Linked DNA regions of Arabidopsis thaliana. The protein of the gene in region 2 interacts with the protein of the main gene of each other region in a pairwise test. Each region holds a gene or a part of one and is shown on either strand. Other genes may lie near its edges. The genes, in order: bbx23 and GATA11.

Region 1 (3,616 bases), on a different chromosome or scaffold from region 2:
GTGATCATCCTTTTTATCATCATCCTATCACTTTATCAGTGACTAGAGAAGATCAAAAATGTTGTATGTTAGCTACTCGTGGCATGCGAGTAGGCGATATAGATGTATCATGTAGGGATTGCAACTAAGATTGACGGTACCGGAGCCGCGTCATGGAGAAAGTTTCTACAAGCCTTTTTGGTTTGCTAGTGGGATAAATTTTTGGTCGACCAGGAGAACAAAGTTTTGGTGTGTCGTGGTAAGCATGGGGTCTCCAACGTTTTTTTACACGTTGTGGGAGAAGATAAATGTATACAATTGGATCATGATGAGGAAGAATCTCAATGGTCACTTCTTAATCAGTTATGTTCCAACGTTGGTTCAAATCCAACAAGGTCTATAGTTCTTGTAGTGAGGCAAAAAGAAAGTACAAGAGCTAATAGTAGTAATCTATGACTGTCTCATTAAGTTATGCATTTTCTATCCAAGTCTTGATATTTGAGATAAATAATTATATTTAATCAATAATTATTTATTCATTTTTTAAATTTTGTTTATATATCTAAGATCGATTCAAATAGTATTCACATTTCTACAATTCTTGAAACTATTGGAACAACTTAGCTTTGGTTGTGTCGATGCCATGACCACTGACTTTAGTTGTTAAGTCATGGTTTTAATATTTGTTGTAACAAAAAGATTTGATTCCTCAACAAGTTTTTCTTCTGTGTAAGATAATATATTACAGAAACTTTTATTATTAAACATCAATGGCTCCGGAACCATGATGTTGTGTGTATATCTCTAAGGACTTAAGATTACAGAAGGATTCTTGTGTACTATCTCACCTGAGTTTCCAGCTTCAGTTTCCTCACTAGAGTACTGACTATTCAGAGACACTTTTGACTGAATCTGGTAAGTTTCAGAGCTAAAACTAGTGCTGCATTCGGAGTTTTCAGTCAAAGACTGATCAGAAACTTGTACTCCAGAAAGTAAGAATCTTTGGTGAGAATTGCAAGTGTGAATGGCTTCATCACAATCATTGCACAGCATTGCTCTATCCTCTAAGCAGAAGAAGTACCCTTTTCTCTCCTGCATATACATATATATGAGACATCGGTTAAAGAGCTCAGCGAGTGTTTAAAGAGAAAAGAGATTGGAACCTGGCAGATATCACATAGAGGAGCTCCAGAAGCTGTGGTGGCTGAGGCTGCATCTTTTTGTAAGGCGACTCGGTGATGTCTTTGGAAAAGTTTATTAGCTTCATGAACCTTAATGTCACATGGCTTGCATAGTACAGCTTCATCTGAACAACAAAGTACTTCTGCTTCAGCCTTTTCACACACTTCACATTGTATCTTCATCCTTCAACTTTATAATCCAAATCAATGTAAATTGCCAATACACAGACAGAACAAATGTTCTTTGACATTTATGAGAATTAGGACAAGGAGTGAATCTAAATATAGGAAACAAGAAAGAACAAGCTTAAATAAGTTCACATGTGTGGTGGGATCATAAGTTATATCAAAACCTGGCTCTGATACCAAGAGGAATTGATGATCTTTATTCATGAAAAGAGAGAACTATATATAGATATACAACGATATGTCGAAGACGAAATTTTTATCTCAATATGGGGTTATTAGACCAACTTTGGGTGGCATTTAAACCAATAAATGTTCTCCTACCAAAATCTCCATGACAAGATCTTTTTCAGAAGCTTGTATAGTTTTACTTTCTTTTGAAAACATAAATTGACAAACATAGCGACAAGCTTCTCTTAAGACACAAGCATGGCAAGCCAAAAGTAAAGGCAGGACCACAATATGCATAAAGACTGTGGAATTAAAAGTAACTAGCCATAGGGCAATAGAGGTCAAAAACTCTAAAATGTTGTCAGAAACTGAAATGGAGCATGGCATCATTCAAACTCTCTCCCATTCCTTTCCCATGCAGCAGCCAAAATTCTAAGACTCATCACAAACAGAATTGGTCCCAAATATCATAATGGGCCAATAAAAATAGGCCTGGATATAAATAACTATTAAGGCCCAATCCAATCCATAGTTTTTACATGAAGTCTCTGGAACATGAGAGAAGACCCTTAAAGGCACAACAAACTTATCCAACGTGTAGTAACATAATTAGTACAAGTCACAGCCAAAAAAGCTAGAACAATCTCAATATCTCTCTCTGCAAAACTCTACCAAAAGAAAGATATTTCAAGAAACTTCTTCATTCTTCATACAATGTGTATTATATATACACCAGAGAATTGAGACTAACCATCATAGAAAACAAAATAAGAAAGTGAAGTTAAAAGCCTAAAATTTTGGTTTCAACCTTCTACAATAAATCCAAATCACTAACCATGATGAAGCACTTGCTAAGCATCTTCTTCATAGGAGCTTTGTTGCTTGGAAACATCAAAACAAGTGAAGGGTCTTTGTCTTCTGCACTTGAAACTACTCCAGGCAGCTTGCTATCCGATCTCTGGCTAGACCGGTTCCCTGATCCATTCAAGATCTTGGAGAGAATCCCATTAGGACTCGAGAGGGACACAAGCGTGGCTCTGTCTCCAGCAAGAGTAGACTGGAAAGAAACAGCAGAAGGGCATGAGATAATGCTCGATATCCCCGGTTTGAAGAAGGATGAAGTAAAGATAGAAGTGGAGGAGAACGGAGTTTTACGAGTCAGTGGAGAGAGGAAAAGAGAAGAAGAGAAGAAAGGAGATCAATGGCATAGAGTGGAGAGATCATATGGAAAATTCTGGAGACAGTTCAAGCTACCTGATAATGTAGATATGGAATCAGTCAAGGCCAAGCTTGAGAATGGTGTGCTCACTATTAACCTCACGAAACTATCTCCTGAAAAAGTTAAGGGTCCAAGAGTTGTTAACATTGCAGCTGAAGAAGACCAAACTGCAAAAATCAGCTCTTCTGAATCCAAAGAACTCTGATATTGAAGAAACTATATATTACTTTCTGAGTCTGAAGAGAGTTATTATAAATCCAAGAGTTTTGAGTTTCATATTGTGTAAGCTAAATGGAGTGTCATGTTTTGTAACCTATCTACCAAAATCTCTGTAACCTTCTCTATATGCAATAAAATGTTCATTTCTTTATATTATAGAGCCTCTTGATTATTTGTTATAGAACATTAGTCATGTAATTAAAAATCAAGGTATATGAATTAGTTTGGAATCAATTTTGGCAGAAACTTGAAACTAGATTTATTCAGATAACAGAGAAAATACTCTGTGAAAACCAAGGAAATTGACAAGAGTGAAGAAACAGAAACAGAACAGAACAAGATTGAAACTATTTAGACTTAGATTTCATGAGCTTTTGAGCATCAGCTGGAGTGGGAAGTGCAGGAATAGCTCCTTTCTGAGTAGTACACACTGCTCCACATGCATTTGCAAAGGCAAGTGCTTCCTTCAGCTTCCCTTCATCCTGCAACATTCACATTACTCAATCACCAAAACTCAATTTCATATGCCTTATCTATGAACTGAAAACGTCTTTGGTTATACGTACATCGAGTATGGAGCCATCTTTTCCCAATGAGACAAGAAATGCACCAACAAATGAATCACCAGCTCCAGTTGTGTCAACTGCTTTCACAGCGTATC
Region 2 (4,849 bases):
TACCAATGCCTGACGTCAAAACCGAATCTTTGATTCCAAACGGTTCAGAAAGATCCTTCTTTGATAAGGACGTGGAATTTGTGGGAGTGGAAGCACAAGTGACAGAGAAAGGCATGGAGCAAGCGATGAAGATGAACAAGGAGATGGCTGAGGACCTAAAGACTGAGGAATGAAAGAGTTCAACGATAACAATTACTGGAAAGTGGATCATGAAGTTGGAGTTTAGAGTCAGCATCTTGTACAGTGTGATTTTGTATGAGCGTAATGAAACAAAACTTGGTTTTAGTTGAAATTTCTTGTAGGTGAGTCTCTCGTCTCTGTGAAAAAAGCTTTTGTTTTCTAATCTTTCTCTGTTATCATTAAGTTTCTGTTGTTGTCAGCTAGAGGAAGTTGTTACTTAGCTTACCACCAAGGTGTCCGTCTTTAACCTACATAGAAACTCTTTTGCACTTCAGTTTCCTTCTGTTGAACATTAATCATATACGTACATAAGCAAGCAGCCTCCATGACTGAATTTGATGGGCGTTTATTTTTCAACTAATGCAAAATAGTAAAACAGATGAAAAAAAGAAGAAGATTATGGGATTGAAGAATAAAAAGAATAGATTTGAAATAGCGAAAAAAAGAGAGCAAACTTTGGCTTCACCTGTTTTCCTCTGATACACAAATGTCAGCCAAGAGATAAAGATAAAAACACATAATGAAACAACAAAATATTTCATATCCCTAACTTGAACTAAACCACTAAACTCTCTTCATCAGATTTGAAAACAGTCACTAAACCCTACTTTTATACCATCTTCTTCCTCCACTGACTTCCCATTTCTGCGGATCAGAGACCAAACTTTAAAAAAAAAACTGCTTTACCCTCTGGATATCACTGCCCGAATCATGCTGCTATCAAACTGTTCGTCGTCCTTCCTTCTCATCTCAATGATCTTCCTGTGTGAGTTTGAATGCACAGCTGGGATGAAGGTGGGGCTTGAGGCTGGTCGGTATTCTGGAACTAGGCGACCAGATCTGAACCTCACTCCGCAAGCATTGCAGAGGGTCTTCGGTCCACTGGGTCCTTCCCTCCACTGTGGGGTCTTGGTTGTCTCGCAATGAGTGCATTTGCGGACTATCCCATCCGAGTTGCTTGCCTCCAGAGTGGAAGAGACCGTGCGGGTGGTCAGGTGGATCTTGCGTTTCTTCTTGGCATGTTGCTCAGAAGAAAAGTAACACTCGGATTCAGGTTTGCCCGGGGTTGACTTCTCGGGCTTTCGGGGTTCAGAGGGGAAAAGGTAGCTAAGTCTCAGTGTTGTGGGGCGTTTGCGCTTGCTTCTCATGCCTTTCACAGGGAAAGCCAATCTCTGAGATCCATTGTTGTGGGTCGAGAGAGAACCATAACTGTTCTCGAGAACTGACACTGGACTTAAAGACTGAAATAGTTTCGAAACTTTGATTTCAGGAGGAGCTGAAGATTGGTGGAGAGTGCTGGACAAGGCTTCAGAAGAATAGGACTGTTTCTGCACCAACGAAACCAAACAAATCAGATGGATTGCAAAATCAGGAACACAATCAATGCACCAGTAAAGTAAGTGACACAAGATTATACTCGGATTAGGAATACCCTCTACATGAATGCTGCTAACTATGGTTATAAACACAGCGGAAAGTGAAAGATTGACATCACTCAAATTATATGAGTAACTAAATAAGCAAGAAAATTTCAGGTAGAAAAGCTTTTTTTACTCAAATTGGGTAAAAATCAAAACAAGTAAAATGCAAAAGTGATAAAAAAAACAAAGAACTCACCAAAGCAGGAATGTTCCTTTGAATATCCACACGAGGGGCCTTGGCCATGCCAGAGCCGCAAGAGGTGAGGTCAGAAGGCAAAGTGGGGAACATATCCATGGGAGGAGGCTCAAGGTCTTGAAACCTGTCAACCCAATCTCCTTCACCATTGGTGGTATCAATGTCATCAAGAGGGACGTCAAGGTGATTGATGAGATCATCAAAGAAATCACCAGAGAGAAGACCTTTGAAGTCATCCTCAGCTTCAGCTTCAGGTAACCAATTCATGCTATCTATCTAACTGTACCCAAGAAAAGATAAAACACATTCAAAAATCAGCGTAAAATTCACCAAAAGCTGAATTCAAAAACAGCTTCATGTCCAGTTAAATAAAAAAAAAAAAACTTTGGGGGTTTCACTCAAAACTCTGACACAATCAGACAGAGACATATGCTAAAACAATTACAAAACAGAAAATTTACCCAATACAATAACAATGACGACATCATTTTAAGGTAACGAAGATTGAAACAATTCCTTCAAACATCACTGAGAATTTAATTAAAAAAATCACAGAGATAAGTGTCGGTTCACACACCAACAAAGCAAGCAACCAAATTTATTTCCTACATTTTTCGAAAACAACGCAAAACGTAACAGAGGAAAATGCAAGACAAGACACAATAAAAGAGAAAGCTTTTACCCTAACGAGAGAAAGAGAGGGAGAGAGAGACGCAACGAACCTTGTAATATAATTCGACTATACAGAGAAGAGGAGAGAGAGAGAGAGAGTCGTCGTACGATGACGAACTGGAGATGGTCTCAAATTGGGGATTTAGGGATTGCAGGTTCGACTTTGGGAGGGAGAGAGAGAGAAAGAGAAAAGGTAGATGGGAGTTTTCAATGTCTCGTCAGTTTCTTTGAGAGAGAGATTCATTCATTTAAAATAGATAATAATGTAATACTATTACTTACTTACTTACTTACTTGTATATGAAAATTATTATTATGGAAACTGCTTTTCTTAACTTTAAAGAAAAATCTTAATCAGTTTCTTTGAGAAATAAAAATCTCTCTATCAACGCGTTTTACCAAAAAGAAAAAAAAAACTCAATTTTGGTTCTTTTACATATGTCAATAAATATATATATACACTAACTGAAGTAGTAATAGTATTTGTTAAGTTAATCCAAGTCAATTGAAAACGTTGCACTAAAACTTGTGGGTACAACTGTAACATTAAACCTCTTCTTGCAATTAATAAAGATATTGTATCATTAAAGCTGATATATATAAGGTAAGTAAAATATCAGTCAAATATTTTATCTGAATGGGTTTTAAGGAATATATGTCGGTGTAATGAAAGGATAAAAGAAAGAATTTACCCATTTTAACATGGTAATAGTATGTCGACATGGAAATTAAAAGATGGTAATAACACTTAATGATGGTCAAAAGAATTAAATAGAGAAATGATTGCGTGGAATAGATCTAAAAAGGAAAATAGGATAAGCACATGGCAAAATAACCTTGAGGGAAGGATGGTTGATAGATCTCGATCTCTAGCAATAATAATAGATAGTATCATGAATTGATGTATAATTTAATTTACGTAGCAAACAAATAAGTTGGGTTTAACATAATATACTAAAAACCTTTAGTATAATAGAGAGAGTCAAAGTGAAATGGAGAGATCACCGACGAAGGATTAAGAGACGAGAACCGAAATAATAATAATAATAAAGATGATTATGGCGTTTCCTCATGGGAAAGTGGGTCCCTTGCCTAACTCTTTGCTTCCATCTCCCACATGATATGTTTCATCCCTTTCACTTACTATCTTCCTCCCATCAATCAATTATTATTATTAGTATTTTTTATATAAAAAAAAATTAATATACACGATCTTCATATTTCTTTTCATTTTTTCTTCTTATATAGTTTATATGATTTTTTCTTCAAAATTTTTGACATATTATTGTTTACACTGCGTCGTTGATAAGAAAACAAATATCACGTGGGGGTATATTTACTGCTTTTGTACAATTTGTTTTATAGAGATTTGTATGAACTGTACTTTAAATTGCACACAGTCTGTTGCGTGAAAAATGGTACAGTCAAATTCAAACCAGTTAGTAGTGTACTTTCTCAAAAAAAAAAAAAAAAAAAAATTGTGAAATCTTATTACTTTTATCTTTATTGATTAAGCTCACTTAAACAAAAAAAAAAAAAGAAGCACTAATTTTGTGACTTTACCTGTTTTGTTTAGCCTTTTAAAATAAAGTAGATAGAGAGTTTTTTTTTACTTGTGATTTTCCCTTTTTCACCTGTAAGGTAAGGCAACACCCAAAACTTTTTCTTTTTCCACGAAAAGTAGAAAAAGAAAGAGAATAATATTACAAATTGGACCCCAAAAGCTTCTTCAAATTGCTGATTTGGTCCAAAATATAGTGACAATGATCAAATCTTAACTTTGGAGGTTCTTCTCCTTTTAGCGTTTACAAATAGAAAGAAGAGGACGATCAATAAAAGCATCAATGCCACTGGTACGAACTTCCATAGCTTCTCTTCACCCATTTCTCCCAATACGCTCTTTAACTCACTCGGCAGATCAACAATGCTTCTCTTAGACTGCACACGAATCATGGAGTTTAGTCTTATATCAGACAGAAACTAAAAGGCGAAATGTGAAGACAAGAAGTTTCTTACACTTGAGATCAACTTATTCGACACTAATTCATGTTCTTTGGCAAAGATTACTTTTGCATATTTGTAGAGCTCCACATCGAGGTTGTTAAGCGATTTGATCTGCTGAATGACCTCTTTAGGAACTCTTGTACGCGTCTGTTAGATGCATTGTCAAAAGATTTCATTATTCCAGCCTTCTCTCATTAACTTTACTAAGTTTAGATCATGTACGAAAACACTTTACCCCTCTTGTAAAATTTGCTGGAGTTATTCTCTTCAGAGAGTTGACCCGTCTGGTTCCTTGGGACTTTCGTAAATGAGTGATGCAGCCTTCATAGACTTCCATAAGGGTTTTTACCGTCATCTGAAGTGTATATATAAAAGT

The links.
Region 1: the proteins of GATA11 (region 2) and bbx23 interact in a two-hybrid assay, tested with the Arabidopsis thaliana proteins (one large-scale study listed by BioGRID).

The regions. Positions count from the first base shown.
Region 1 is NC_003075.7:6,368,184-6,371,799, forward strand, and holds bbx23 (B-box zinc finger family protein), read right to left. Parts: upstream 1,768-3,616; 5' UTR 1,344-1,767; coding exon 1,143-1,343; intron 1,072-1,142; coding exon 784-1,071; 3' UTR 646-783; downstream 1-645. Other genes in the region: ATHSP22.0 (HSP20-like chaperones superfamily protein), read left to right, coding at 2,354-2,941; AT4G10260 (pfkB-like carbohydrate kinase family protein), read right to left, coding at 3,303-3,437, 3,522-3,616. UniProt on the Arabidopsis thaliana protein: Probable transcription factor that may be involved in seedling photomorphogenesis.
Region 2 is NC_003070.9:2,485,339-2,490,187, forward strand, and holds GATA11 (GATA transcription factor 11), read right to left. Parts: upstream 2,748-4,849; 5' UTR 2,520-2,747; intron 2,513-2,519; exon of another isoform or gene 2,480-2,512; intron 2,169-2,479; exon of another isoform or gene 2,078-2,168; 5' UTR 2,065-2,077; coding exon 1,798-2,064; intron 1,509-1,797; coding exon 864-1,508; 3' UTR 510-863; downstream 1-509. Other genes in the region: AT1G08005 (serine/threonine-protein phosphatase 6 regulatory subunit), read left to right, coding at 6-173; TPST (tyrosylprotein sulfotransferase), read right to left, coding at 4,237-4,407, 4,486-4,620, 4,709-4,828.